Linked DNA regions of Elephas maximus indicus. The protein of the gene in region 2 purifies or fractionates together with the protein of the main gene of each other region. This does not show direct contact. Links are inferred from orthologs where the notes say so. Each region holds a gene or a part of one and is shown on either strand. Other genes may lie near its edges. The genes, in order: FAM20B and GOLPH3.

Region 1 (15,691 bases), on a different chromosome or scaffold from region 2:
ATGATTAGAAGTAAAATTAAGAGCATTCAGGTATCTTTCCACTTCGCATTGTGTGCTTCTATCCAGGAAGTCAAAACCTCCAATACTGAACAGCATCAAGTGTTTATTACCTGAATAAATCGCAAGTACAGTACCCAGAGAAAACCAGCCCACTCCTGCACGGCCACCCGCTGCCTGCCACAACAGCACATCCTTCTTCCTTTTCATCTTCAAATAAGAAGTCTTCACTAAAAATAAAAACCAATGCCAAGTGTCATCATTAATCAGCATTCCTATGTATGTTTTTTCCTTCCTGGCTAATTCTCCACTCAAGAAACAGCTTCTTCATTCACCCTCTTATTCTCGGTATAAGTAAGCTCTTCTATAGCAGAGTGGTTAAGGGCACGTGCATCGGATTCAGAATGGAAAAGGCTGAATGCCTGCCTTACCACCTACCGTGGGGCCTGAGAAAGTGATTTAACTAACCTCTGGGCCTCAGCTGCAGCATGCGAAAAATGGAAACCAGAGCATATTACCTGATTCACAGGGTTGCTGTTAAGAATGAATGACATTGCTACAGGTGCTGTGCTAAGATTAGTACCTGGATGACCCACAGTAATCGTTCAGTAAGTGTTAATCATTATTATCTTACCATAAATCCAAAGATGATCTCCTGCGAGGAGAACGAATGACAAAGAAAATTACCCTGACTGGAGTCAACATCCCATACTTTGTCTTCTCAGTTACATAATCAGGAACTGAATACACACATTGCATTGCTAAGAGTTTAAGGGTAATTAGTTGTCTTGAATCCATAAACCAAACCCTTTCCCGAGTTTGAGGAGCAGATAAGACCAGGCAAAAAGACATTTTCAGAGTGGGCACCACGTGAAGTAGAAGACTGGGAGGCTGTGTTATTAATCTCACCAGCCTGTTTCTTTTCTCTATGACGCTCAGTTCTACTACATTCAATGTAACTGAAACAGATGGGAAGCATGAACTTGTTCTATGTTAGAAAAAGGTTGAAAGAGAATGCACTTCACAATATTCTTCAGCTTGGAAAATTAGCTCTGTGCTTTAAAGATGACAGCTTCATATGTCCTAAAAAGTAAAGCTCTTAAGAGCAACTTAGAGTTACTGGTATAAAAAATCTGATTCTTATAGTCCAATTTGGTCCCGGCATTGGATTTTCCTCACTGTTTTCATTTCCACTTAAACAGTTGTATCTATAAACTCAGAATCTCTTATGTGAAATCCTCTAATAGTCCCCTGTGAAGGATGCCAACCAAAACGATTACCAGGCATTAATGAGGCATTAAGGTAGCCTTTCTTCCTGGGTGTGAGAGTACAAATGGAACAGATATTAAAGAGTGTTTGTTCCCTCTTTGAAAAAAATTTAATTCCTATACCTCACCCCATTTAAACCTTGATTTAGAGCAACTCTCTAGCACTCTTCCTTGGGCATGGGGATGGGACACTTAGCTCATACTGCTGGTGAGATTTATTCTAAAAAACTAATATAGGCAGTGCACACTGATCTAGAAACTCTAGAAACGTCTAGGAATTTGCATTCTGCTTTAAATGGGCCAGGTATAACGAAGCTTCCTGGGTTCTAGATGTTTCACTGCCCAAGCTGTCGGTACATAACCACCACTTAAGGCTATCTTATAGAATACAATTCCTGTATAGTGTGGAAACATGGAATTTTAAATAAAATAATTTAAAGCAGATTTTCTTATGCTTTCCATTGTTACTGTTCATCTCACTACAGCTCTTGAAAAGGTATATAAGCTTTACACAATAACACCTCACATTTTAAACCTTATGTTCTAGATTGTATTAAGCCACACAGGCCACACAAGACCACTTTCAGAAATAGTAGAACCCGAAGCAGGTCTGTGCTGCAATTCTGGCTGGGCAGCTTCAAGTATGACCACTTTGTAAATATGAATATTTTCGTTCATTCATCCATTCTTGGCATGCCTGTCTCTACTATACTGGGAACTCCTTGGGTATAGGGAACATGTTACCCTCTTTGTTTTCCAAGTAACCTAGCACAATGCAAGGCGTATGAGAGGTACTCAATAAATGCTTGTTGAATAAAAGAAGTGTAGAGCAAAAGAAAAACGCCTTTATAAGAATTTATTCTGAACCATCAATTCTTTGATTTAAAGATGGCCCGTTACTGACATGGGGAAAATAAGCCCTGTAACAAATTCATATATACAGTACAGTCAAAATGCTGAAATATCTAATATGCATATCAACTTTATACGCTCAATTTAAAACAGCTGCCTTCTGTATACCTTTCTTTCACCTTTCAAGGCCACTGTTACTGCTAACCTGGTTCCTTGTGGTGGTTCGAAGTGGGAGCAGACACCAATCTAGAAATGCCAAGAGGAAGAATGGAGATGGCCCAGGACACTACCCAGGAATGAAGCAAGACAGGGCTGGAACCAGATCTTCACGTATTTTTGGCAATGCTTTCTGAAATGAGAACCAACGCTAGTACTTCCATATTATTTTCTTTTTTCTACAGAAAGAACTACCGAAACATAAATGTACCTATACAGAACTTAAGTTCACTACCTAAACCAAGGATGAGAAACAAGAAATAAACAAAAAAGGTCTTTGGGCAGCCAAAACAGTGGTTACCAAGTTCATACACTAATACTCAGACAAAAGCCAATAGACTCCAGTGCCTATTTAGCCGTTTGACATTCAATTTCAGGAGGCAGTTATCTTGGTTCCTACTCCACAGAAGATCAGAAGCTGTATATTTAAGAGAGGGCGGCAGGGACACCAACAGCAGCAAAAGTACAGCTTTCCCATCCTGGAAAAAGAGACAGACTGACTATAAAAAGTATATATAAGAATTCAAAAAGCAGGATGAACAAACAATCTACATATTTCAATCACCTCAAAGCATCACTTGATCATGTCAGTAATTGACACTGGCAGTCATTACCTTGAATCAACAAAAAAAGGTTACAGTATATTGTTTAAAAAGGAAACAAACTATGTAATACATTATAAAAAGTTTTTCTACAAAAAGTGTAGCTAAAATAAGAACTATGGCACAAAATACCCTATTTCCTAACAATACTAGGTAAATGCAGTGTGTTGCTAAAGCAGAAAGTCAACATTTGAGAGCACAGAATGATAGGGATCTTCTACTTCGTTCTGCCCGCTTTCCCACCACCAAAACCCACTGCCGTCGAGTCGATTCCGACTCATAAATCCTTGACATTTTCTAATGTACCCCAAGTAAAAACCCCTCCCAAGGGTTGTTACCTGGCCAGAAAATGTGGACCCCAAACATACACCAAAGCTCAACGTCTCCTTTCTGCATAAGCCTCCATTTCTCAGAATGGAATGACACACTCACCTCAAGATTCTTCAAGTCCAGAGCTAGGCGTACTTTTGTTTTTGATAAGAAAGACAAAAATCAGAAGTGAGATCTGTGCATTACATTCTCTTCTAGGCGATTCTAGCAGTCACGTTGACACTGTAGGCTGGTCAGAAGCTGGCTTCAGTAGTAGAGTAAGACCTTCTGCCCTGCACACCAGGTCCATGCCACTAAAGAAATCATGCAGTGGCCTTGAGGGTTAGAGGCAGCTCAAGGAAGGAGGAGAGTGAGAAATATATACATGCGGAAGGAGGAGCTGCTGGAGAAGCACCTCACCCAAAACCTGTTGCCCTTGAGTCAATTCCATCAAGTATTAGTGTATGAACTTTGTAACCACTATTTGGGCTGCCAAAGAACTTTTTTGTTTCTCATCCTTGGTTTAGATAGTGAACTTATATTCTGTACAGGTGCATTTATGTTTCAGCGGTTTTTTCTACAGGACAGAGTAGAACTGCCCCATGGGGTTTCCAAGGCTATAAATCTTTATGGAAGCAGACTGCTGTGCCACCAGGGTTCCTCAAGAAGCACCCTCTCCTATTTTGTCTCTCCACATGAGGGACAAGAATATGGGCAGTCAAGATCAATGCCACTGGCAGGGCCAATACCAAGAGCTCTAGATTCTTCTATTAATGCTAAAGTATTGACTACCAAGCCAATGGCTTAGGTGGCCTAGCCAGAGGAGGTGCAAGTCTGTGAAGCCACATCTTACCTGAGCACCACAGGCTGCTCCCAGGCCTGCATGTAGCTGGAGAACCATATAATCATAGAATCTCAGGCAGCTCCAGCAAGTAAAGGTCTTTTCAGAAACCCATCTCAACAGAATATTTTCAACAGGAGTCAGAAATAAATTTTCTTGGTTTTTGTTTTGACAAAAAGAGGAACTAAACAATTTAATACAATCACTAGAATATTTCCCCTACACCCTACTGTTTCCCATTCATTCGTTCAACTAATGAATATTTCCTGCATGCCTACTATGCAGTAGGCACTGTTAGGTGCAGAAAGAAAAGTATGCTGATTGTCGTAACTATTAAAACAAACTGTACTGTCTCATGCTAACTGTGGTCCCCATCCCAATTCACAAACCATCTGGCACTTAGTCCCACAGAGTGACCTTACGTCCATCATCAGAAGATTCTCCTTTTTGTTTGCAACTGCGACCAAAGAATACAAAGAGAACCTACTTTTTCTATTATGAAATGGTAGCGATCACCAAGAGACCACTGTGGTTAGCTATATTAAAAAGTTATCAATTCAAGAATGGAAGGATCTTGGGTTTATACCACTGAAATGACAGTCACACAAAGTACAGGAAGCTAAAAGTAAAGGAAACAAAGAAAATTTCATTTAGAAATTCAGAAAAGATAAAAAGCAGAAGCTTCAAGACAGTGTCAAAGAGTTGAAATCTACAAATGGAAATCAAGAGAATTTCTAAAAATTATCAACTCAACATAAAACAGTTCTATGATATAAAGTATTGTGAAAAATAAAGATAGAAATAGTGATTTTTTTTTGTTTGCTTCCTAGTCCAAAGTACCCAGGAAGATAAAGTAGGGCATATGTTTTCATTCTTTAACCAAAATGTAGTGATTTGCCTACTAGTTCTAAAGAAACAAACGGAACAAATCAATCTCACATTTTTACCAGCCAGAGAGATGGAAAGTGGTGAACTCCAAGATTTCTCCATCATCTTTTACCTCCATCCATTTCTATTGTTGCACTTTATTTAGTAGTGAGGCTGAGTCTGAATTACTTGCTTGTGCCTTTTCATTCCCCTTGTTTTTCTTTTTTACCTTTTTATTCTCCTTTAACAAGCACCTTCAAATGTGGAAGGGCCTCTATTACATGGTTCTAGGGTCCAAAGTACAATATCTTCACAAAGTTCAGAAAAGTTATTACTGGAAAGCATTACTTTTAAAATCTAACTTAGACTGTTTTTGAGCCTAGGCAAACAATTTAGCATCTTTAACATTTGTACCTCAATTTCTCAAAGACATGTCCTGGTGACAAATAATATATATGGAAATGCTCTAAGTTGCTTAGCTCAAAGGTCCTGCATACACTCATGGAATGTTTGTAAAACACAAGCATACTGAGGTCTCTAACCCAATTAAAAAAAAAAAGTTAAATTTATACATGAATTTATAACACAAGGAGGATAGACATAGTAAACAACAATGTTAACTTTATCAGATTACAGATTTATAAGTCCCAGAATTTAAAAGCTAAAAGACCCAGAGTCCAACCTCTTTTCAAGATGAGAAATCAAACCTCAGAAGGAAACTGGCTGGGTGGGGATGATACTGATACCTGGCTCCTGTCTCTGTAAGTAGCAGTATCAAGCATCTCTCATTCTCCAAATTACAAACTCCTCACCCATCCAAAAGGTGACATGGTCTTTAAAAAAAAACTATTGATTCCATAACGACTAACCATGCTCTGTCCCCTCCACTCTCCCTCCAACATCCTTCTCTGCCCACCCGGAGACTTGCACGTAACAGAAGTGTGATTAGACAGAATCTCTTATCAGACTCCACAATCAGGGATGAAGCTTGACAACTGCTCACATTCATCGTTAATAGCAACGCTTTGGGTCGCTCTTAATCGTGGGGCCATCACACCCGGAAACGAAATCTCAAGCGCAACCCACTGTGGAGTACCCTATCATTTCCTTAAGTTGTGCCCGACTGCGAGCGCGGGACACAAGCCCCGAACCCAGGGCACTGCCGCCCCCGCCTGCAGGTCGCTTGCGCTTCTCGGCCACGAGGCGGGCCCGGCAGGGACCCAGCGGGCGCGCGCCCCTCCCCAGGCCGCAGCAACGGGCGCTCGGAGGGACGCGAGGGCGGCACCTGGGCCAGGCGCCTCCATGGACCGCGCCCGGGCGCAAGGGCTGGTCACTAGAAGGACCCCGGGCGGCCCGAGGCGCCCCCAGGTAAGGCCCGCGCCTCCGTCGGGGCGGGGAGGAGCAGCCGAGGCCGCGTCCCCTCAGCCGTGACCCGCGAACGCCCGCAGGAGTGCGGCACCCGGCCTGTCTCCACGGCAGGGACCCGCCCGCGGCTGCTCCCGGACCCCTCGGGCGCGAGCGCCCGGCCCCTCAGGGAGGCTCCCCGCCCCCAGGCGGCCGTTGCCCGGCGCGCGCCACGCACCGCGCCCCGCCCGCGTGCCTGCCCACACTTTCCCGCCCGTCGGGCCGGGGCAGGGGTCGCACGCCCGCCCCCGCGCCCGTCCCCGCCCCCGCCCCCACGCCGCTCACCTGCCGGGCCCTAGGCTCGCTCCATGGCCGCCGGCGCGGTGCGGCGCGGCCCGGCCGCCCCCGCCGCCTCCGGGGAGGGGCAGCCCCACGCCGCGCTCACCGCCTCCAGCCGCCGCCGCCACTGCGGCTCCCGCCCATCCCCGGCCGGGCCATTCCCCGGCCACCTCTCCCTGCGCAGAGCCGGCCGTCCCACACCCACCCCCTCTCCTCGCAGCCCCGGGCTGTTGGTACCGTCCTAGCGTAACGCCTTCCTCGCGACCAATCCAAGGGCTCACTCGGCGCGGCCCCGCCCCCGTACTCCGGTGGGCGGGTCCTACTGACCGCGCTCGGGACTGCCCCTCTTTAACCCATTCCGTCCCGGGCTGGGACCTCTTCACCCTTTATCAGCGCCAGCTCACCTCCGTTTCTACTTCATTTCCCCGCCGCCCTGCCCCGCTTACATAAACTGGCCTCTCTCTTGCCTTGCTTTTTCCTTCTCGCTCGTCTTGGGCAGATAGGCAGCCAGGCAACGGGCCTGGAGAGTTGGAGTACCCCGGCCAACTTCTATTTGTGACAAGCAATTTCCCTTCTTTTGCCCTTTTGATTTACCGGACTTCTGCCTGGAAGTTCTGCCTATCCAAAGAGGCCAGCCAGCCTTCCTACACAAATTTCTTTTCCCTCAAACCAGAGCACAGTTCCTTGCTACAAGCTTTTAATAGCGTTTAACAAAATTGTGATTAATTTACTATATGATTAGCTGTTTAACGGCTGTCTCTTGCACTGGACTACGTGTAAGCCCCACGAGGGCAGGGTCGTCATGCCTGGGTGAGTCTCTAATGCCCAACACCCAGTAGGCTCCCAGTAAATAGTTTGAATGAAAGATTCTCGCTTCCCCTAAGTTCTTTACTCTGAGTTCATACAGAGTGTCTGTGTCATGGATTATATTGTGTCCCCCCAAAATATCTGTCAACTTGGATAGGTCATGACTCCCTTGTATGGTTGTCTACCATTTTATCTTCTGATGTGATTTCCCTATATGTTGTAAATCCTATTTAATTTAATTTTATAATAATTTCATTTAATGTAATAAGATGGATTAGCGGCAGTTATATTTTATAATAATTTCATTTAATGTAATAAGATGGATTAGCGGCAGTTATATTGATGAGGCCTACAAGATTAGGTAATGTCTTAAGTCAATCTCTTTTGAGATATAAAAGAGAGAAGTTAGCAGAGAGATGGGGGAACCTCATACCACCAAAAAAGCAGTGCCAGGAGCAGAGTTCATCCTTTCGACCTGCAGTTCCTGTGCTGGGGTGTCCCCAGACCAAGGGAAGATTGATGATAAGGACCTCTCTGCAGAGCCAACAGACAGAGCCTTCCCCTGGAGCCAGTGTCCTGATTTCGGACTTCTAGCCTACTGGGCTGCGACAGAATAAACTTCTCTTTGTTGAAGCCATCCACTTGTGGTATTTCTGTTACAGCAACAGTAGATGACTAAGACAATCTGCTTACTATATAATGCATTCATTCATTCATTCATTCACCATTTCCTAAACTTAGTGTGTCTGACTCCAAAACATTATAATGCACATTTCTCCATGGGATAAGATGTGTGATGGGGAAAAGACCGAGCTGACACCTTTTCAGATTACATTGTTCATTTAAGCAGCAAGGTATAGTGGGAAAAACTCCTTACTGACTTTATGATACTGAGCATGCCATTTAACCTCTCTGAGCATCCATGTCCTTAACAGGAAAATGAGTTAATCATAGTCTCTACTTCAAAGAGTTGTTATCAGGCTTATATTAGGAAATGTGTGGGAAAAGTACTTTTCAAATTGTTGTGTAATATTAGTTATTATTCATGTATGTGTTTACTATCAAGAGATCCTAGAGAAATAATTGGGTTGGTTACCAGCCCCTGACAGTCTACTTAGGGAGGCAACCCCTCTGAAGGAAGCATTAATCACTGCAAGGAGTGTACAGTCATGTGCAGAAGGCATTGGATAAACCTTTTTCTGGATATAGTTGAAAAGGATTAGGAATCTTTTCTGACCATGGATTACACAATCCTTGGGAAAATGAGCTGTACGGTAATGAGAGTCTAGTGTATATCTCTAAACAGGAACATTAGTCTACCTACAGACAGCTAATCCCCTTGAACCTTGCTCATCACATCCAGAGATCTGAAAGCAAAAGGGTAAATCAACAGTTCCCTAAGACCCTTTACCTTTCTTGCCTGTAACTGACAAGGATGACGAGCTGGACTCTCCTACTGTCACTGCTCAGAAGGCCAGCCTTCTTGCTGCCTCAGCTTCCTGGACAGATGAGTGCCTGTCTTTAGGACTTTCAGCTGCCGGACAGACACCCTTCCTCCTCTCTGTCCTCAGAAAAGAAGAGCCATGGGCCTCTGTGTCAAAGGCTTTCAGACAGCAAAGTTGTTCTGTCCCCCAGTTTTCTCTTCACCAGGCCACATTACCTAGGCTCTTTGTGATTGTGCCTGACCCTTCACGACTTTCGTTTCTCCTCCCTCCTCCTAATATGGGTCTTATTTCCCAACCAATCAACAGCCACTGTATTCTAGGTATTTAGCAGGTACAGTCATTTAAGAAGGGGACTCTGCCATCAGAGGGTTTGTATCACCAGCACACAGGAAGCAGCTGCAGGGAACACGGGACACTTAAATTTTGCAGCACAGACTCTGTGATGGCTGAAAGAATCAGAGTCCAGGAAGACAATGTGGGTTGGTGTGTCAGGGAAGGAACTTGAGATGAGCAAAAAACAGGTGAGAGAATAGAGGGACATTATGAACCAAAGTCAGGTAGCACCGCGTGAACTTAGAGACACATATCCTCAGCAGATGATCCATAATGGAAGAACCGTTCGTTCACTCATTCATTTAATGAATATCTACCAAGTGCCGGGCACTGACCTAGAGCCAGGCCATGCAAAGGTGAAGAAGGTCTGATTTTCATCCTTTACAGGCTCACAATCTGTCATTGAGAAATAGAATGAAAAGTCAAGCAGAGCCCTAGCAGGAAGATCTGAGCACTTTGCTAAGACCCCCAAGATGCTTCTCTCACTCTGTGATGTGTTGTGGTTGCAGGTGTCTTTATCTAATCTCCCGTTCCCCTCTCTATCCCCTGTTACCAAACTACAAGGCTCTTTAGGACACAAATTACAACTTTATTTCATCTTTATATTCCACGTGTGGAGTGCCTCATGCAGAGAACCTTCTTCATGTGATGTGTTGAAGTGCACTGAGTTGAAACCAGGATTGGAATTTGGCGGGTCCCTCTCCAGCCAAGAACGGCGTGGTTCTGTTGGTTATTAGGCCCTTGAGTGAAACCCTCCAGTGGCATGTCTGTGACCTGCTGAATGGGACAGAAACTCCTCTGCTTGCATTCACGGTCCCAGTCCACCTTTTCAGGCCCGTGGTCTGCTAATTCCTTACCCTCTGCCCTAAAGGGCCCACTTGCCCTCTGCACACTCCCCGTCCTCCATCCTCCACCCCTATTGGTATGATCACACCGGTTCTTCCTCCTGCACTCCCACTTCACCCCCACCCCAGGGTCCACCCATGAAAATGTTACATGGCTCTCAAAAGCCGCTTGCTCATGTAACCTCTCCTGACCTTTCCAACTGTGTGTGCTTTCCTCTGCTTCTGAGATCCAGTACTGTCTTTGCACCTCTCTTGTGGTATCGTTTATATTGAAGCCTTTGGGGCTATATCTGACCCCGTTCCACTGGACTGTAAACCCCTTGAGGCTGAGGACAGTGCTTTATTCATGTCTGTGTCTTCTGTAGCACTAACACTGTTCATGGCACATGGTACACACGCAACACTTGAAAAAAGAGAGTTTTAGGAAGAGCAGGATTGGCTGAGGTGGGAAACCAGGAGCCCTGGAGGTTTCTTTCTTAGCCCTATGGTAGGTGTAAACATTTTCCTTGAACTGTTTCAGAATTTCCAAATCTCTGCCAATTTGTAAGCCCCAGGACTCAAATAACAGTCCCACAACCCAAAGTATAAGATCTCGTGGTGCCTGCACACACAAACATAAAACACACACAGATTATTTTAACCCAATTAGTACACTCACATTGATGGGTCCCATTAAAGCTAATTACATTAATTCTACATCTAGAAAGTTGAGAGGAGCTATAGGAAAGCTGACTCTGTTCCAAGGTGCTAGAAGCCTGGGGAGAGGGTGACAGTGACAGGAAGAAAAGTGAGTGAAGGAGCACACATGTCCCTTTGTTCCCTGCTAGGAGTGTGTGCCACAAGTCTATTCTCTGCATTGGCTCTCAGTAGACAGCCCCTCTGCATTTCTTTCCCAAATGGCCAAACTCATTTCTTTCATTTTGCCACCAGCTCTGCAGAGCTACTCCTGGCCCTCCCCTCGTTTACAGCAACGGGACCACTCACTCAACCCTTCGCATGGCACCTCTGTCAGTGTCGATCAGAGAACCTTTCAAGTCCCAGTGACAGCTTTATAAAACCACATACAAAACAGACACACCCAATGTTATGGATAACATTGTGAAGAATGGGAATTCCAGAACACTTCATTGTGTACATGTGGAACTGTACATGGACCAAGAGGCAGTCATTCCAACAGAACAAGGGGATACTGCACTGTTTAAAATCAAGAAAAGTATGTGTCAGGGTTGTATCCCTTCACCATAATTATTCCATCTGTATGCTAAGCAAATAATCTGAGAAACTGGACTGTGTGAAGAAGAACATGAGATCAGGATTGGAGGAAGACTCATTAACAACCTACCATATGCAGATGACACAACCTTACTTGCTGAAAGGGAACAGGACTTGAAGCACTTACTGGTGAAGATCAAAGACTACAGCCTTCAGTATGGATTACACCTCAATATAAAGAAAATAAAAACTCTCACAACTGGACCAATAAGCAACATCATGAAAAAAGGAGAAAATATTGAAGTTGTCAAGAATTTCATTTTATTTGGATCCACAACCAATGCCCATGATAGCAGCAGTCAGGAAATCAACCGACATATTGCATTGGGCAAATCTGCAAAAGACCTGTTAAAAAGCAAAGATGTTGCCATGAGGACTAAGGTGCTCCTGACCCAAGCCATTGGTATTTTCAATTGCCTTATATGCACACGGAAGCTGGACAATGAATAAGGAAAATTGAAGAAGAATCGATATGTTTAAATTATGATGTTGGCGAAGAATATTGAATATACCATGCCAGAAGAATAAACTAATCTGTCTTGGAAGAAGTACAGCCAGGATGATCCTTAGAACCAAGGATGGTGAGACTTTGTCTCACGTACTTTGGACATGTTATCAGGAGGGACTAGCCCCTGGAGAAGGGTATCATGCTTGGTAAAGTAGAGGGGTCAGCAAAAAAGTGGAAGACCCTAAACCAAATGGGTTGATGCAGTGGCTGCAACAATGGGCTCAAACATAGCAATGACTGTGAGGATGGTGCAGGACCAGGCAGTGTTTTGTTCTGTTGTACATAGGTCACTGTGAGTCGGAACCAACTCAGTGGCACCTAACAACAGCAGCACAGCTTAACTGTTTAAAGTGTACAGTTCACTGGTTTTTAGTATATTTGCAGAGTTGAGCAACTCACGCTGAAGAAGTAAAGAGTTTTTGAAAATATACTTATCCGTCCATTTGATTATTAAATCTGCTCATTAGAAGCAAAAAAAAAAAAAAAAAATTAGGGACACAGGTTATTATTTTTAAACATTTAGAGTTAATAAGAATGCAAAGGAGATATGGCTCTCAAAGCTATGTTTCACTTTATTGCACGGATGGCTGCAGTAATGTAATTAAGCATTCCAAAATGTACAATTTGTGGTGGTATATACACTCTTGAATGAATGTCCAAGGCCATGTCTTTGAACATTTTCCAATTTGTTATGTCTTCTATAATGCCAGAAGGCTCTTCGATGGGTTTGGTATAGACAATACTGCAAATTCGGTATAGACAATATTGCTAATTCCCATAAAAGAGTAATTTTGTAATATGTCTAGGATGATGCCACATGCATATGGCTGTTTAACATACTTGAAAAAAAATTTTTTTTGATGTGATGGAAGATCTTGAATTTTTATTAACTCAATTTAAGGCATTTAAGTATTTGAAATTCTTGGGTCACCACTGCCAGTCACATGAAAGTTCTGGGTCCCTCAAATTCCTCTTACCAACTTTTCTTACAAAAAGCCAGCAAGCCTCCATCATCCACAGGTTAAGGAGTTAAGGGAGAAGGCTCTTTGACTCGGGAATGTGCTAAAATGGCAGTTCTCAATCTGGCCGTACAGTAACTTTTAAAAAAACATCCTTGTGTCTTTTCAGTCATCTCATATGCACGTAAAAGCTGTGCAGTGAAAAAGAAGACAGAAGAAGAATTGATGAGTTTTGAACTGTGATATTGAAGAATTTTGAATATACCATACCATGGCCTGCCAAAAGAATGAACAAATCAGTCTTAGAAGAAATACAACCAGAACGTTTCTTATACGGGAGGATTGTGAGACTTTGACTCACGTACTTTGAACATCATCAGGAAAGAACAATCACTAGAAAAGGACATCATGTTTGGTAAAGTAGAGGGTCAACAAAAACAAGGGAAACCCGCAGTGGGATGGATTGACACAATAGCCAAAACAATAGGCTCAAAGATACCAATATCATGAAGATGGCACAGGACCAGGTAGTGTTTTGTTCTGTAATATGTTAGGCCACCATGAGTTGGAGTCAACTCAACAGTAACTAACAACAGCAACATGCCTGCCCCTATTCTCAAAGATTAAAATTTGATTGTCTTCAGGTGAGGTCCTGGCAAGAGTATTTGTTAAAAGCACCTAGGTTATTCTCATTTGCAGCCAAGGTTGGGAACCACTGCTCTACTGGAGACTAAGCCAGAATCACTTAGCAGGTTGAACCATATGAAACTGCCATTTTTACAGGCCAAGACTAGATGAATATTGGCAATTTCATATGCCTCGGTCTAATATGTGCGCAATTGATTTTTATTTTCAAAGGGAGGTGGATTGGTCTTTCAGAACACCTGCTACCAGGAAACTAGTCATTTCTCTCCAACCCCCCACCCAGTAGTAAGTGAAGGTAAGAGAGATGTGACAAGGAAGCCAATGACCTGGGTGGTTAAGATACTGCCCTTGGTGGATCAGACCCTCTGCATCTTTCCTCTCAGTGGGGCTTAAGCATTCAGAAGCCTATGGCTGCCAGCCACAAAGGGGAATGAGTGAAGCAGGCCAAGGATGAGACAACCAGAAGTGTTGAGGAACACAACAAATCAGAGAGAACTTTGTCCCTCCTTCAATTGCATTAACAAAAAATATATATATATATATATATACACACACATATATATGTATTAGAGGTTCTTTTTTTTACTTTTTATTGAACTTTAGATGAAGGTTTACAGAATAAGCTAGTTTCTCATCAAACAATTTCTACACACATCATTGTATGATATTGGTTAACAACCCCATGACATGTCAATACTCTCCTTTCTCAACCCTGGGTTCCCTATTACCAGCTTTCCTGTTCCCTCCTACCTTCCAGTCCCTGCCTCAGGGCCGGTGCACCCCTTTAGTCTTGTTTTGTTGCACGGCTTGTTCAATCTTTGGCTGAAGGTGAACCTCAGGAGTGGCCTCATTACTGAGCTGAAAGGGTGTCCAGGGGCCATACTTTCAGAGTTTCTCCAGTCTCTGTCATGCCAGCAAGTCTGGTCTTTCTTTTTGAGTTAGAATTTTGTTCTACATTTTTCTCCATCTCTGCCCGGGACCCTCTATTATGACCTCTGTCACAGCAGTCAGTGGTGGTAGCCGGGCACCACCTAGTTGTACTGGACTTAGTCTGGTGGAAGCCATGGTAGATGTGGTCTATTAGTCCTTTGGATTAATCTTTCCCTTATATCTTAAGTTTTCTACATTCTTCCTTGCTCCCGAAGGGGTGAGACCAGTGGAGTATCCTGGATGGCTGCTCACAGGCTTTTAAGACCCAGGATACTACTCACCAAAGTAGAGTGTAGAATATATTCTTTATAAACTCTTATGCCAATTGAGCTAGATGTTCCCTGAGACCATGATACCCACAGTCCCCAGCCCAGCAATTCAGTCCCTCAGGGAGTTTGGATGTGTCTGTGGAGCTACCATGGCCTTGCCTGTACAGGTTGTGCTGGCATCCCTAGTGTTGTGTACTGTCTTACCCTTCACAGAAGTTACCGCTTATCTACTGTCTGTTAAGTGTTTTTGCATCCCAGCATCTCCCCGCCCTCATAACCATCAAAGATTGTTTCTTTTTGTATGTACACCTTTTCATGAGTTTTTACAGTAGGGGTCTCATACAATATTTGTCCTTTTGTGATTGACTTATTCCACTCAACATAATGTCCTCCAGATGCATCCATGTTATGAGATGCTTCACAGATTCACTGTTGTTCTTCAGCATTGCATAATACTCCCTTGTGTGTGTGTACCACAGTTTTTTAATCCATTCATCTGTTGATGGGCATCTAGGTTGTATCCATCCTTTTTGCTATTGTGAACAATGCTGCAATGAACATGCATGTACATCTATTCGTGTGATGACTCTTATTTCTCTAGGATATATTCCTAGGAGTGGGACTGTAGGATCATATGGTATTTCTTTTTTTTTTTTTTAATTTTACATTCTATATTCCATAATCTATATTGTATAATCTATAATCTTCTATATTCTATATTTTATATCCTGTATTCTGTAGTCTAGATTCTCCATTCTATGTTCTATATTCTACGTTCTTCTATATTCTATATTCAATATTCCATACTCTGTAGTCTATGTTCCATATTTGATGTTCTATGTTTTATAGTCTGTATTTTTCTATGTACTATATTTTTCTGTATTCTATATTATGTATTCCATCGTCAATATTCTATATTCTATGTTCTGTATTTTATATACTTCTGTGTTCTGTTTTCTATACTCTTCTATATTCTATATTTTATATTGTACATTCTATATTCTCCTACGTTCTATAATATATATTCTTCCATATTCTATAGT
Region 2 (15,959 bases):
GATGCAGAATGTTTTGTTAATAGATTTTATTATGCCAATTGACTTAGATGTCCTCTGAAACCATGGTCCCCAGACCCCTGCCCCTGCTACACTGGCCTTCGAAGCATTCAGTTTATTCAGGAAACTTGGTTTAGTACAATTGTGCTGACCTCCCCTGTATTGTGTGCTGTCTTTTCGTTCACCTAAAGTAATTCTTATCTGCTATCTAATTAGAGAATACCCCTTTCCCACTCTCCCTCCCTCCCCTCTCTCTCAACCACAAAGAGTGTTTTCTTCTCAGTTTAAACTGTTTCTCCAGTTCTTATAATAGTGGTCTTATACAATATTTGTCCTTTTGCAGCTGACTAATTTCACTCAGCATAATGCCTTCCAGGTTCCTCCATGTTATGAAATGTTTCACAGATTCCTCACTGTTTTTTATCGATGTGTAGTATTCCATTGTGTGAATATACCATAATTTATTTATCTATTCATCCGTTGATGGGCACCTTGGTTGCTTCCATCTTTTTGCTATTGTAAACAGTGCTGCAATGAACATGGCTGTGCATATATCTGTTCGTGTAAAGGCTCTTATTTCTCTAGGATATATTCCAAGGAGTGGGATTGCTGGATCGTATGGTAGTTCTATTTCTAGCTTTTTAAGGAAGTGCCAAATCAATTTCCAAAGTAGTTGTACCATTTGACATTCCCACCAGCAGTGTAGAAGTGTTCCAATCTCTCCACAGCCTCTCCGACATTTATTCCTTTGTGTTTTTTGGATTAATGCCAGCCTTGTTGGAGTGAGATGAAATCTGAGTGTAGTTTTGATCTGCATTTCTCTAATGGCTAATGATCGTGAACATTTCCTCATATATCTGTTAGCTACCTGAATGGATTCTTTAGTGAAGTGTCTACTCATATCTGTTGTCCATTTTTTAATTGGGTTATTTGTCTTTTTTGCAGTTGAGTTTTTGCACTATCACGTAGATTTTAGAGATCAGGTGCTGATCAGAAATGTCATAGCTGAAAACTTTTTCCCAGTCTGTAGGTAGTCTTTTTACTCTTTTGGTGAAGTCTTTGGATGAGCATAGGTGTTTGATTTTTAGGAGCTCCCAGTTATCTAGTTTTTCTTCTACATTCCTTATAATGTTCTGTATACTGTTTATGCCATGTATTAGGGCTCCTAACATTGTCCCTATTTTTTCTTCCATGATCTTTATCGTTTCAGATTTTATATTTAGGTTTTTGATCCATTTTGAGTTCGTTTTTGTGCGTGGAGTGAGGTATGGGTCTTGTTTCACTTTTTTGCCTATGGATATCCAGTTATGACAGCACCATTTGTTAAAAAGACTGTCTTTTCCCCATTTAACTGTTTTGGGGCCTTTGTCAAATATGAATTGCTCATATGTGGATGGATTTATGTCTGGATTCGCAATTCTGTTCCATTGGCCCACGTATCTGTTGTTGTACTAATACCAGGCTGTTTTGAGTACTGTGGTGGAATAATAGGTTCTAAAATCAGGTAAAGTAAGGCCTCCCACTTTGTTCTTCTTTTTCAGGAATGCCTTATTTATCTGGGGCCTCTTTCCCTTCCATATGAAATTGGTGATTTGTTTCTCCATCTCATTAAAGAATGTCTTTGGGATTTGGATCGGAATTGCATTAAATGTATAGATTGCTTTTGGTAGAATAGACATTTTTATAATGTTAAGCCTTCCTAACCACGAGCAAGGTATGTTCTTCCACTTATGTAAGTCTCTTTGGTTTCTTGCAGAAGTGCACTGTAGTTTTCTTTGTATAAGTTTTTTACATCTCTGGTAAGATTTATTCCTAAGTATCTTATCTTCTTTTACTATAAATGCTATTGATTTGATGATTTCCTCTTCGATGTTCTTTTTGTTGGTGTAGAGGAATCCAGCTGATTTTTGTATGTTTATCTTGTATCCCGATACTCTGCTAAACTCTTCTATTCGTTTCAGTAGTTTTCTGGAGGATTCCTTAGGGTTTCACTATATACATTTTTATACTCTTCGAACTATGCAAATATATTAATTGGTCAAATGAGCTATTAATTACATTTCTTAAAAAAAGAAGGAACACAATTTCAGCTATTTGGGAAAGCATTAGAAGAAAGATGAAGGAAAAAAAAAAGAGTTCCAGAGGATGTGAATGGGAGAAATTGGCTGAGGCAAAAACGATCTTTGTACAGAAAGACAGGAAAAAGTGAGGGCATATTTTGTATACCTTGGTTGTGCAACGGTTAAGAGCTCAGAGCTCATGCTAACCATCGGGTCCATGGGAGAAAGACCTGGCAATCTGATCCTGTAAAGATTATCCGTTACCTGTTGCCGCCTAGTTGGTTCTGACTCATGTTAACTTTATAGGACAGAGTGGAACTGCCTCACAGGGTTTCCAAGGGTATAATTTTTTTTCCTATAAAAGGAATATATTCATAACAAAGGCACAGAAATCATTGTATACCAAGTTCAATCCTCTAACATCCTGAAATACATACACATACATACTGTACATAAAATTATATTATCAATATAAAAACACGTCATTAACTTTTCTAAGGATGACAAATATAGAACCAAAAAATATCAGAATTCTATAACATCTTCTTACATTAAGTGCTGGTGAATAAGATGACAGTAAAAGAAAGAGGTCAAAGCGGACCAGAAAACCAACCTCATAACGGCAGGTTACAGACCTCAGTTGGTTTGCAGGGTGTTATGGATTGAATTGTGTCCCCCCAAAATGCATGTCAACTTGGCTAGGACATGATTCCGAGTATTGTGTGATTGTCCACTGTTTTTTCATCAGATATGATTTTCTTATCTGTTGACAATCCTACTCTATGATGTTAATGAGGTAGGATTAGTGGCAGTTATGTTAATGAGGCAGGACTCAATCTACAAAATTAGGGTGTGTTTTAAGTCAATCTTTCTTGAGATATAAAAGAGAGAGGTGAGTAGAGAGACAGGGGGACTTCATACCACCAAGAAACAAGAGCCGGGAGAATATCGTGTCCTCAGGACCCAGGGTCCCTAGGCTGAAAAGCTCATGGACTAGGGGATAATTGATGACAAGGACCCTCCCCCAGAGCCGACAGAGACAGAAAGCCTTCCCCTGGAGCTGGCACCTTGAATTTGGACTTCTAGCCTCCTAGACTGTGAGAGAATAAATTTCTCTTTGTTAAAGCTATCCACTCGGTATTTCTGTTACAGCAGCACTAGATAACTAAGACAGGGGGAGGTATCCCAATATTCCCCATGCATTTAAAAGTGCCTGATGTCATCAACTCTCAAAGACAGAGCAAGGAAGAATTTGACATTATGGCACTTTTTTTTTGGCCACAGAGACACACTTCAGCCGCATTTAGTGAAATAAAGGAATGTCAATAAGCTTAACTTAAAATCACTGCCTTCACAACCTAAACTATGTAGCACCAGGCAGAATGTACTCCTCCTTCCTCAACCTTTGTGTCTCATGTTCAATTGTTTTTCCTTTTCAGTAGGTAAATTGCATGGATATTCAAATGGCACAAACGAGATGAAAACCCAACATTAATTCTAGCGTGGGAAACAAGGCACAAGTCTTGATGGCCCCACTGGTGAAGTGGAAAGTGCTGCACTCTAGGACAGACATTCAGGATGGAAACTTGTGTCCAAATATTAGTAGGCTACTGCCACATGGATGCTCTTTTCATAAAGTGTAGGAAACCCCATGTACTTCTAAAATGTCAGAGGCTGGGGGCTGGCTTACAAGACAAAATAGGGAAAACACGTGTAATTGATTTTGCCCATGGACCAGATTTTCAGATTTTAACGCGGGCAGACAACTGGTGAAGAGCTTCTTAAGAGTTGTATTTAAGTCAGGAAATTCTCTCTCTTGTGTGTATGTATTTCTGTCAGACAGGTGAAGTATCTGAAATGTGCTGTGTGAGGGGACAAGGGGGACAAAACATTGCCACCATCCCACAGCACATTTCTTTAAGGTCTGTGAGGCTTTCTAGTTTCTAACCAAATAAACCAAAACACCAAACCTGTTGCCATTGAATCTATTTAGGTTCCTGCAAATCAGCCAACCCCCTTTTGTTTCAGGCCGGATTTCTGGCTTGAATGTGTAACAGATTATCTAGAACTCAAAAGTTCTTTCTGCTACCTTCGTATTGACCTTGAGGTCTAGAACCTAACGTAAACTTGCATGAGGCTTTCACTACTCAGACTAATCCCAGGAAAGACTCCTTACTCAGGGATCCCCTTCCTTGGAGTCAGAACCAGTGGCAGGAGCTGGGAGGTGAGGAATGCATTGGAGGATGGGGTTATCACGAGAAGTGTAGAACTGAAAAAGCAGCTGTACATTTTAAGAAGACTCTGGTTTCTCCAACTCGGGATTCTTGGAACCCAGTATATATTGGAGAGTTCACAGGTCAGGCTGCATGGTCCGGTCCAGAATCTGGCTGGTATCTGGTTTCCTCGCATCATAAATACTTCCTTACAGATCAAGTACAACTCAAAAGAACCCATCCAATCAACATATCACAATCGGCTTTGCCATCACTGAGTCAAATCATCTATAAGATCTTGGAGCTCCTGAATCACTTCTGGAAATGAGGAAACAGGATTTATTTAACCTTTAAGAATGATACACCATCTGGTGTTAGCCACATCGAAGGCTAAGTAAGTCAAAGTTTGGAAGCTGATTTGAATAACTGCAATGATCCTTGGGTACTGCAGGTTCTTCTCTTGCTGCCCAAAGTCCTCAGAGGTGTAGAGCGCCAGAAGCAGGGACGGGTCAGTCCTGGAGGTACAACCCTGCCCCCTGCCTGTCCTGAGGAAGCAGTGAGATGTGCATGCTCAGAGCTGCACTGGGAAGGGTGCATGGTTACAGTTCCTAGGACATTCTGTCCACAAGCGGCGGCTACTCCTTGGGCTTCTCTAGAATGTTGAGGAATTTCCCTCCTGTCATTTCTCTGGACTCATCCAGACCCAGCTCGAAGGCCAGATTCTGAGGGCCTCATACCTTCTCCATTAAATTAGCTGTGGTGAGATGCCCAGCTCTTTCAACATGTCAATACCATCACATTCTATTTCAGCCAGAAATAGGTGGAGAGCTAGAAATAGGACTTTTTGAAGGAAGCTGCAAATTCAGCAACACCTGGTATTCGTTCGGGCCAAAGGTCTGGTGAGCCACGGTCACGTTTTTCAAAACTAGGCCAAGGTGCTTCCAGATCTGTCCTGTCTGTGGAAGACGCCATCCTCCAACCCATGTCCTGTAATCTTTACAGAAGCAGACTGCCACATCTTTCTCCTGGTGGGGATGGACTAAAGCCGCCACCCTTCTGGTTAGCAGCTGAGTGCTTAACTGTTGTGCCATGAGAGCTCCTTTTTGTTAGATCACAGCCAAGAAAACCCTATGGAGTAGTTCCAGTCTGTCACACAAGGTCACTATAAGTTGAAATTGACTCCAGGGTACCTAACAACTTACTTTGTGCACACCTCAGGAGGAGAAGATTTAGGAAGATTTGGGTAGTGGAGGAGCCAGGGCGAGCTCTGGATAGTAGGTTTCTGTGTGTGTGGGGGGGGGGGGGTGGTGGCTGAGGGATAGGGGGCAACAGTTAGCATCTTGCAGACAGCGTGGCCTACTGACTTGTTATAGTGTTATAGTGGACGTTTTTTCATTCACTGGCTACCTTTTATAGCTTCAGTCCTCTTACAAGGATACAGTTCTCATATCTAAACCATTTAGTAACAGCCTGTGGTCACTGTTTAAGTAATATTGGATGGCATTACTGGATACAAGCTCCACCGTCCCTCAGGTTTGACATCCATCCTTAACATAATTTGCCCAAATGAGACAGGGAAGAGGTAGGGCCGGCTATAATTAAATGCCTCTGACTCAAGTATTCTTGGAATCTAAACCTAAGTGCAAACCTCCATATAACTGTTACTGCTAGCACCTGAGAACTACTTGGGATTAACAAACTAGGTGCTAAGACAAGATAAGGGGCTACATTCCAAGCCCCTGTGTGCTTGAATAGTTATAAATTAAAAATACCTAAGTGCAGACCACCATGTAACTTTTACTGCTGGCACTCGAGGACTAGTTGTGATTAACAAACTAGGTGCTTGGACAAGATAAGAGGCCATATTTCCTAGTCCTACATGCTTGACCAGCTATAAATTACTGATAACCCTCCTGAGTTGTTTTTCAAGTCCCTACCAGGTGCATGGCATGTGCATTAAAAATCAAGGCAACCTATGAATGACCTTCCACATGAGATAATCACAAGCAGGGATCCCTTGCCGGACTGGAACCTGGAGCCAGAGACATCACTGCATGCCTAACAGCCCAGAATTAACTCCCGTTCGACAGCCCAGCAGCCCTCCTGACAGACTCAATCTTAGTTCCAACAACCTCTGGGAGGAAATCCATCTTGAATTCCAACTGCGCACGCATTTGATTTTCATAATCCCTCCTCTTCTCCTGGAAATCTCCACCCATCTAATGAAGGAAGAAAACCTTTTATAAACCCTAGGAAATCCTTTGTTCAGGAGAGACTGGAGGCTAGCATAGGTGGAAAACCCCTCTCCATCTCTCCCTTGAGAGCCTTTTTACTTTCTTTTTGTCACTAATAAACCTTTGTTCGTGTGGAACCTCAGAGCCTCTCCTGGTCATTCTCGGTCAGAAGAAGGTAAGAACCTAAGCAGGGCTTAGTCCCCAGCTGGGAAGCCCTGCCCTGTAACACAAACTGTCAAGCACGCCAAGAGAATTTAACCTAGTAATTAAATTGAAAGATTTAATATGTACAAAGACGTGGCATGCAACCCAACAGGTTTACGATTTCTATAAAAAGGTCGTTAAGGTCGAGTGGGCTAACGTGTGCAACACTAACTGTACTTACTGCAGCCTGGTCACTTTATAGCGCAAGTCGAGAGGTAAGGAAAAGTTATATGAACAAAACTATTAAATTTCCTTCTAACCTCTGTTTTCATGTATTAACACACCTAGAACACACTACAATCCCATTCTAAAACCCTTTATATGCTGGTGTTCCTTTCGAAGGTCCAGAGAGTCTGGGCAAAGAGTGCGCCCTCTCCTCGCCCCGCCAGCAGCGAGCAAAGCCCTTCGTTCATCTCGCGGGGACGCTAAGCCTGCTCCCTGCCACCCGGGCCAAGGACCCAACACCGAAGACTGTGGTGTCCAGGATTCTAAGAGCACAGCTCGAGGCTGAGCAGTGCCCACCCCTTGCTCCCCCATTCTTGTCTGCCAGCCGCAGCCCGTGAGGTGAGGGGAGGAGGAGCGGGCGCAGGCGCAGGAAGGACACGTCACAGGTAGGGGATGGCAGGTCGGGTGGCGAAGGGACGCGCCGGGAAGGGCAGGCGCGGGCCGGAGCCAAGGGCCCGCGAAGGGGATCAGCTACGGCGAGTCTCCGCCCGTGCCCGCCGCCGCGTCCCCGCCCGCTGCTTCCGGCTCCGTCCGGTCCGCCCCGCGCCGACTCTGCCACATCCTCCGGTGACGTCAGCTAGCGCCGCCATATTGGAAAGGCGCCGCCGCCTCCTCCGCTTCGGAGCTTGGGCGCCTCGGGGGCCGCGACCGCGGGGAGGAAGGAGCTCCTCACCAATCTTGCCGACGGCTGGCCCGCCGGCTCCCGCCCCGGCCCGTCTCCCCATGACTGCCCCCGGCCCCGCTGCCGACGGACGTCGCTCCAGCGCCCGGGTTTAACACGGAAGCCGCGGTCCAGGGCCGCGGGAGGAAGAGGAGGAAGACCCGGTAGGTCCCGTGTCCCTCTCGGCCCGGCGCCTCGGCCGGAGCCATGACCTCGCTGACCCAGCGCAGCTCGGGCCTGGTGCAGCGGCGCACCGAGGCCTCCCGCAACGCCGCCGACAAGGAGCGGGCGGCGGGCGGCGGCGGTAGCAACGGCGAGGACGACGCGCAGAGCCGCCGCGACGAGCAGGACGACGACGACAAGGGCGACTCCAAGGAAACGCGGCTGACCCTGATGGAGGAGGTGCTCCTGCTGGGCCTCAAGGACCGAGAGGTAGGGGCGCGACGGCGAGGGCGGGGCGGCCCCAGGGGCCCGGGCCAGGTGGGCGCCCACTGCGGCCCCGCACGCCTGCTTGTCTCGCTCCCGAGTTCCGCGCCGGGGCGCCAACTTGCCCCGAGGAGTGTTGGAGTTAGTTTCCCCTCTACTGGCCCTGTGCTCTCCACATCCTCCCAGTACAGATTGCTTGGATTTTCCATTCCTCCCTCCACGGGCACACTTTCATTTCGACACCCTGGCAGTCTGCATTTCCTCCTTGATTTTTTTCCTGCTTGATTAACCCGTGTAGACCCCAGGTGCAGCTCCAGCCTGGAGACTGTAGGTTAGAGTGAAAACATCTGGAACCTCCAGCGCCCCCAACTCACGGGTTTTGCAGGGTTGAGGACCTGGGAGGAGTACACGGATCTGCTTTCTGGGGAATTTTTCCCCCAATTAAGGCGCACTGTTGCAATTATGAAAATTTTTGGTGAAGTGGTAGTGGAGACAAAAGTTATTTTGCTGAGTAAAGTTAAAAGTCAAACAAAATCCTTGTGGACCCTCCTGGAAAGTTACTTTTTGAGTGAACTTGGCGTTCGGTGAGAGATTATTTTTAGTGGCGCCTTTAAATTGTCAGTTGACTATTCTCAAAGTCTTGCCATTTTCAGGAAGGGCCTTTTATGTAGGGTGCTTGAAATGCTATGTTTATAATTTGATGAGAGGCCTCAAAGCCTTTAAAGAAAAATCTCCAAAGCAAACACAGTGCCGTCGAGTCGATTCCGACTTATAGCGAAGTAGAACTGCCACCGTAGAGTTTCCAAGGAGCGCCTGGCGGTTTTGAACTGCCGACCCTTTGGTTAGCAGCCGTAGCACTTAACCACTATGCCACCAGGGTTTCCAGAAACCAAATCCACTGCCATCGAGCCAGTTCCGACCGATATCAAGCCTAGAGAGGACAGAGTAGAACTCCCTCCTAGGGTTTCCAAGGAGCAGCTGGTGGATTTGAACTGCAGACCTTTTGGTTAGCAGCCAAGCTCTTAACCGCTGCCCCAAAGCCTTTAGGTAGGTTAAAGTTGTGAAAGATATTTCTTTGTGTTCTTACTATAAAAAAGATTAGTTTCACCCCAATATTTTATGAAGATTTTCGCGCATAGGTTTGGAAAAGTTGAAAAATGAATGATACGTGAAACAGTTAACGGTTTGGTTTGTTACATGTACAAAAATGATTGTCATTAAAGACAGATCTGCATACCCTCAGAGAAGAGTATGGTGAGGTAGTCCCAGAAGCTTGTTTTATCTCAGCGTGGAAAATGCAGACAGCAGGTACTGAGAGTCAAACTCAAAAGTAATCCCAAGTTTTATTTCTAAGAGCATTACAGATTCATGGAGGGGGGCAAAAAAGTTTCAGTATTGTAAAATAACTTAGTTTTTTTTTCTGAATTCATCAAAACCTGACAGATACAGATGAGTTCTAATTACGTGGGCTGTTTGTGGACTCCTGATACTTGAGAAAAAAGTTTACCTTGATAGAAATGCGAAGAGCTTTTGCAATATCTCGGTTTCCCATTTGCCCTGGCTTTAGTAATCACTTTGAAAAAAGTTGTTTTATTTCAGTCCCCTTGGCTGTGAAAGGGGCCCAGTACCTGTTTAATTACTGAGTTTTGATGAGAAGAGGTAGGCTATATGAGAAATTTCTTTATCCTGTTTTGGATGAAAAAGCATCTAGATCTACAGTTTCCTAGTAATGTGATTTTAAAAAGCATTCAACTTACCTTTTTAGGCATCACAATTTGGAATCTTGCTAATAAACTTGCTTAAGTCTTTTTTTTTTCCTTTGGGAGAAGAGTAACAGATCACTGCAGACATTTTACAAAATACAAAAAGGGAAAATGAAGAAATCACCCATATTCCTGTGTGAACATTTTGGCTTACAGTTTTTGAGACTTTTCTGTGTGGTTAAGTCCTGTGTTTGTGTAAAATGAAAACATAAAAAACAAACAACCAAAACCAAAACAAAAACTAGCATCTGGCACTCTGAGTCACACTAAATGAGAAGTTATGGTGAGAAACTACTTTTTTTTGTTTTTTAAAGTATATGTTACTCTGAATGTTTATGCTAAAGCATATTAACATACAGTTTTTCTGTGGTTCTTGTGAAGATGATCTAAAGAATTTGTTGAAGTTTAATGGTACTTATGAAATTGAGACAATTCATAGTTCTTTGGTGCAGGTAATGAAAACCATCTGTTGTGTTTATTTTGTGTCAGGAGTCACTATACTTTGCATGTTATGGCCAAGGTCCAGACTAGCTAATCCTGAGCTACCCTTGCTGATTTCAGAAACCACATAGGGAACTTTTTTTTTTTTTTTTGCAGACAAGTCCAGGGAGTTGAGAGGGAAGAGGAGGAGGTTGGAATTTTGCATTGCTTTAGATTTGTGGTTTTAAACGTTAGCTTATGTATATATTTTCCTGTCATCACATCTTTATATACTAATATCTAGCCCTCTCAGTACAATTATTCATGTATTTTTCTTTTGGGGAAGTATCCCCCCCCCATGTCTTTAACTTGTATCACTTTTTTTAGGGGGCAGGAATTGCTAGAGCCTAGGCATTTATTCTCATTCATATTAATAGTTTTTGAGACTTTTCTGTGTGGTTAAGTCCACACAGAAATTGGATACAAAACTTTAGCCATAATATATAACCTAATAAATTTACTCTTTGAATTTTGTTTTTTTAACTTAGCATCCATCGTTACAATATCTGGATATTCTTAAGATATTTAAAAGCTAAACTCTAAAATTAGGTAGGTTATTAATATTGGGTTTAATTTATATGTATGGAAGCTAACCATCTGAAATCAAGACCATCAAAAAATAAGAATTGCTCATTGGTAGAATTAATTTTAATTTGACTTTCTTAAAAAACTATGACTATCAATTTACGTTTTATGGCTTATTACAAATTTTTTTTAATTGAAGACTAATAAACCTACAGAAAAGTACATACAGGCAGTCCCCGGGTTTTGAACATCTGACTTACTTACAACCCTTATTTATAACCCGTAGTTCCGGACCAGTCTTTGTAAAGCCCATTATGTTACAAATTTGAGGTATGTACAATGGTTTGTAATAACAAATGGATGTTACTTTGTGACACGAAACAAAACATTACTATTACTGTATTATTATTTTAAAGATGTTTTATTGTATGTGGAGGTATTTCGTGTTTTTTATGCATAGAAAGGTACACTATATACCAAGACAAACATTTGACTTACTAACGTTAGATATGAACCGTTCCTATTAGTACAAATTCAACTTAAAGACAGACTTAGAAACAGAGCTCTTTCATAGTCTGGGGACTGCCTGTATATCATAAGTGTGATGAAGTTCCACAAACTGAATACACCCATTTAACCAGCACCTAGAGCAAGAAACAACCTGGCCAGCTCTCTAGGAGCCCCACTTAATTCCTTTCCAGTCACTGTTTATTCCTCAGGGGTAACTGCTAAGCCTGACTTTAGAATTTAGCTCAGATGTATTTTGCCCAGTTTTGTACTTTCTTTTGTGTTTGGCCTTTTTTTTGTAAGGTGATTGTTCATTCTCATTGGCTTTATCAACTTTTAACACATTTATAATCTACAGTACAGATTACTTTTTTTTTTTATTAACTTTTATTAAGCTTCAAGTGAACGTTTACAAATCCAATCAGTCTGTCACATATAAGTTTACATACATCTTACTCCGTACTCCCACCTGCTCTTCCCCTATTGAGTCAGCCCTTTCAGTCTTTCCTTTCCTGACAATTTTGCCAGCTTCCCTCTCTCTCTATCCTCCTATCCCCCCTCCAGACAAGAGCTGCCAACACACTCTCAAGTGTCCACCTGATATAATTAGCTCACACTTCATCAGCATCTCTCTCCCACCCGCTGACCAGTCCCTTTCATGTCTGATGAGTTGTCTTTGGGGATGGTTCCTGTCCTGTGCCCACAGAAGGTCTGGGGAGCATGGCCGCCGGGATTCCTCTAGTCTCAGTCAGACCGTTAAGTATGGTCTTTTTATGAGAATTTGGGGTCTGCATCCCACTGATCTCCCGCTCCCTCAGGAGTTCTCTGTTGTGCTCCCTGTCAGGGCAGTCATCGATTGTGGCCGGGCACCAACTAGTTCTTCTGGTCTCAGGATGATGTAGGTCTCTGGTTCATGTGGCCCTTTCTGTCTCTTGGGCTCCTAGTTGTCGTGTGACCTTGGTGTTCTTCATTTTCCTTTGCTCCAGGTGGGTTGAGACCAATTGATGCATCTTACATGGCCGCTTGTTAGCATTTAAGACCCCAGACGCCACATTTCAAAGTGGGATGCAGAATGTTTTCATAATAGAATTATTTTGCCAATTGACATAGAAATCCCCTCAAACCATTTTCCCCAGACCCCCGTCCCTGCTCCGCTGACCTTTGAAGCATTCATTTTATCTCGGAAACTTGTTTGCTTTTGGTCCAGTCCAATTGAGCTGACCTTCCATGTATTGAGTGTTGTCTTTCCCTTCACCCAAAGCAGTTCTTATCTACTGATTGATCAATAAAAAATCCTCTCCCTCCCTCCCTCCCCCCTCCCCGCTTCGTAACCACAAAAGTATGTGTTCTTCTCAGTTTTTACCATTTCTCAAGATCTCATAATAGTGGTCTTATACAATATTTGTCCTTTTGCCTCTGACTAATTTCGCTCAGCATAATGCCTTCCAGGTTCCTCCATGTTATGAAATGTTTCAGAGATTCGTCACTGTTCTTTATCGATGCGTAGTATTCCATTGTGTGAATATACCACAATTTATTGACCCATTCATCTGTTGATGGACACCTTGGTTGCTTCCAGCTTTTTGCTATTGTAAACAGAGCTGCAATAAACATGGGTGTGCATATATCTGTTTGTGTGAAGGTTCTTGTATCTCTAGGGTATATTCCGAGGAGTGGGATTTCTGGGTTGTATGGTAGTTCTGTTTCTAACTGTTTAAGATAACGCCAGATAGATTTCCAAAGTGGTTGTACCATTTTACATTCCCACCAGCAGTGTATAAGAGTTCCAATCTCTCCGCAGCCTCTCCAACATTTATTATTTTGTGTTTTTAGGATTAATGCCAGCCTTGTTGGTGTGAGATGGAATCTCATCGTAGTTTTAATTTGCATTTCTCTAATGGCTAATGATCGAGAGCATTTTCTCATGTATCTGTTGGCTGCCTGAATATCTTCTTTAGTGAAATTTGTGTTCGTATCCTTTGCCCACTTCATGATTGGGTTGTTTGTCTTTTTGTGGTTGAGTTTTGACAGAATCATGTAGATTTTAGAGATCAGGCGCTGGTCTGAGATGTCATAGCTGAAAATTCTTTCCCAGTCTGTAGGTGGTCTTTTTATTCTTTTGGTGAAGTCTTTAGATGAGCATAGATGTTTGATTTTTAGGAGCTCCCAGTTATCTGGTTTCTCTTCATCATTTTTGGTAATGTTTTGTATTCTGTTTATACCTTGTATTAGGGCTCCTAGGGTTGTCCCAATTTTTTCTTCCATGATCTTTATCGTTTTAGTCTTTATGTTTAGGTCTTTGATCCACTTGGAGTTAGTTTTTGTGCATGGTGTGAGGTATGGGTCCTGTTTCATTCTTTTGCAAATGGATATCCAGTTATGCCAGCACCATTTGTTAAAAAGACTATCTTTTCCCCAATTTACTGACACTGGTCCTTTGTAAAATATCAGCTGCTCATACGTGGATGGATTTATATCTGGGTTCTCAATTCTGTTCCATTGGTCTATGTGCCTGTTGTTGTACCAATACCAGGCTGTTTTGACTACTGTGGCTGTATAATAGGGTCTGAAATCAGGTAGAGTGAGGCCTCCCACTTTCTTCTTCTTTTTCAATAATGCTTTGCTTATCCGGGGCTTCTTTCCCTTCCATATGAAATTGGTGATTTGTTTCTCTATCCCCTTAAAATATGACATTGGAATTTGGATCGGAAGTGCGTTATATGTATAGATGGCTTTTGGTAGAATAGACATTTTTACTATGTTACGTCTTCCTATCCATGAGCAAGGTATGTTTTTCCACTTAAGTATGTCCTTTTGAATTTCTTGTAGTAGAGCTTTGTAGTTTTCTTTGTATAGGTCTTTTACATCCTTGGTAGGATTTGTTCCTAAGTATTTTATCTTCTTGGGGGCTACTGTGAATGGTATTGATTTGGTTATTTCCTCTTCGGTGTTCTTTTTGTTGATGTAGAGGAATCCAAGTGATTTTTGTATGTTTATTTTATAACCTGAGACTCTGCCAAACTCTTCTATTAGTTTCAGTAGTTTTCTGGAGGATTCCTTAGGGTTTTCTGTGTATAAGATCATGTCATCTGCAAATAGTGATAACTTTACTTCCTCCTTGCCAATCCGGATACCCTTTATTTCTTTGTCTAGCCTAATTGCCCTGGCTAGGACTTCAAGTACGATGTTGAATAAGAGCGGTGATAAAGGGCATCCTTGTCTGGTTCCTGTTCTCAAGGGAAATGCTCTCAGGTTCTCTCCATTTAGAGTGATATTGGCTGTTGGCTTTGCATAGATGCCCTTTATTATGTTGAGGAATTTTCCTTTAATTTCTATTTTGGTAAGAGTTTTTATCATAAATGGGTGTTGGACTTTGTCAGATGCCTTTTCTGCATCAATTGATAAGATCATGTGGTTTTTATCTTTTATTTATGTGATGGATTACATTAATGGTTTTTCTGATATTAAATCAGCCTTGCATACCTGGTATAAATCCCACTTGATCATGGTGAATTATTTTTTTGATGTGTTGTTGGATTCTGTTGGCTAGAATTTTGTTGAGGATTTTTGCATCTATGTTCATGAGGGATATAGGTCTGTAATTTTCTTTTTTTGTAATGTCTTTACCTGGTTTTGGTATCAGGGAGATGGTGGTTTCATAGAATGAGTTGGGTAGTATTCCGTCCTTTTCTATGCTTTGAAATACCTTCAGTAGTAGTGGTGTTAACTCTTCTCTGAAAGGTTGGTAGAACTCTGCAGTGAAGCCGTCCGGGTCAGGGCTTTTTTTTGTTGGAAGTTTTTTGATTACCGTTTCAATCTCTTTTTTTGTTATGGGTCTATTTAGTTGTTCTACTTCTGAATGTGTTAGTTTAGGTAGGTAGTGTTTTTCCAAGAATTCATCCATTTCTTCTAGGTTTTCAAATTTGGTAGAGTACAATTTTTCGTAGTAATCTGAAATGATTCTTTTAATTTCATTTGGTTCTGTTGTGATGTGGTCCTTCTCATTTCTTAATCGGGTTATTTGTTTCCTTTCCTGTATTTCTTTAGTCAGTCTAGCCAATGGTTTATCAATTTTGTTAATTTTTTCAGAGGACCAGCTTTTGGCTTTGTTAATTCTTTCAATTGTTTTTCTGTTCTCTAATTCATTTAGTTCAGCTCTAATTTTTATTATTTGTTTTCTTCTGGTGCCGGATGGGTTCTTTTGTTGCTCACTTTCTATTTGTTCAAGTTGTCGGGACAGTTCTCTGCTTTTGGCTCTTTCTTCTTTTTGTATGTGTGCATTTATCGATATAAATTGGCCTCTGAGCACTGCTTTTGCTGTGTCCCAGAGGTTTTGATAGGAAGTATTTTCATTCTCGTTGCATTCTGTGAATTTCCTTATTCCCTCCTTGATGTCTTTTATAACCCAGTCTTTTTTCAGGAGGATATTGTTCAGTTTCCAAGTATTTGATTTCTTTTCCCTAGTTTTTCTGTTATTGATTTCTAGTTTTATTGCCTTGTGGTCTGAGAAGATGCTTTGTAATATTTCGATGTTTTGGACTCTGCAAAGGTTTGTTTTATGACCTAATATGTGGTCTATTCTAGAGAATGTTCCATGTGCGCTAGAAAAAAAAGTATACTTTGCAGCAGTTGGGTGGAGAGTTCTGTATAAGTCAATGAGGTCA

The links.
Region 1: the proteins of GOLPH3 (region 2) and FAM20B purify together in Homo sapiens (affinity purification with mass spectrometry; 3 studies listed by BioGRID and IntAct, with this or other methods). This does not show direct contact. The link is inferred for Elephas maximus indicus from reciprocal best matches to the Homo sapiens genes GOLPH3 and FAM20B.

Annotation. Positions count from the first base shown.
Region 1 is NC_064842.1:41,939,992-41,955,682, reverse strand, and holds the start of FAM20B (glycosaminoglycan xylosylkinase), read right to left. Parts: upstream 6,771-15,691; 5' UTR 6,642-6,770; intron 3,023-6,641; exon of another isoform or gene 2,323-3,022; intron 1-2,322. UniProt on the Homo sapiens protein: Responsible for the 2-O-phosphorylation of xylose in the glycosaminoglycan-protein linkage region of proteoglycans thereby regulating the amount of mature GAG chains.
Region 2 is NC_064820.1:37,290,705-37,306,663, reverse strand, and holds the start of GOLPH3 (Golgi phosphoprotein 3), read left to right. Parts: upstream 1-7,534; 5' UTR 7,535-7,801; coding exon 7,802-8,026; intron 8,027-15,959. UniProt on the Homo sapiens protein: Phosphatidylinositol-4-phosphate-binding protein that links Golgi membranes to the cytoskeleton and may participate in the tensile force required for vesicle budding from the Golgi.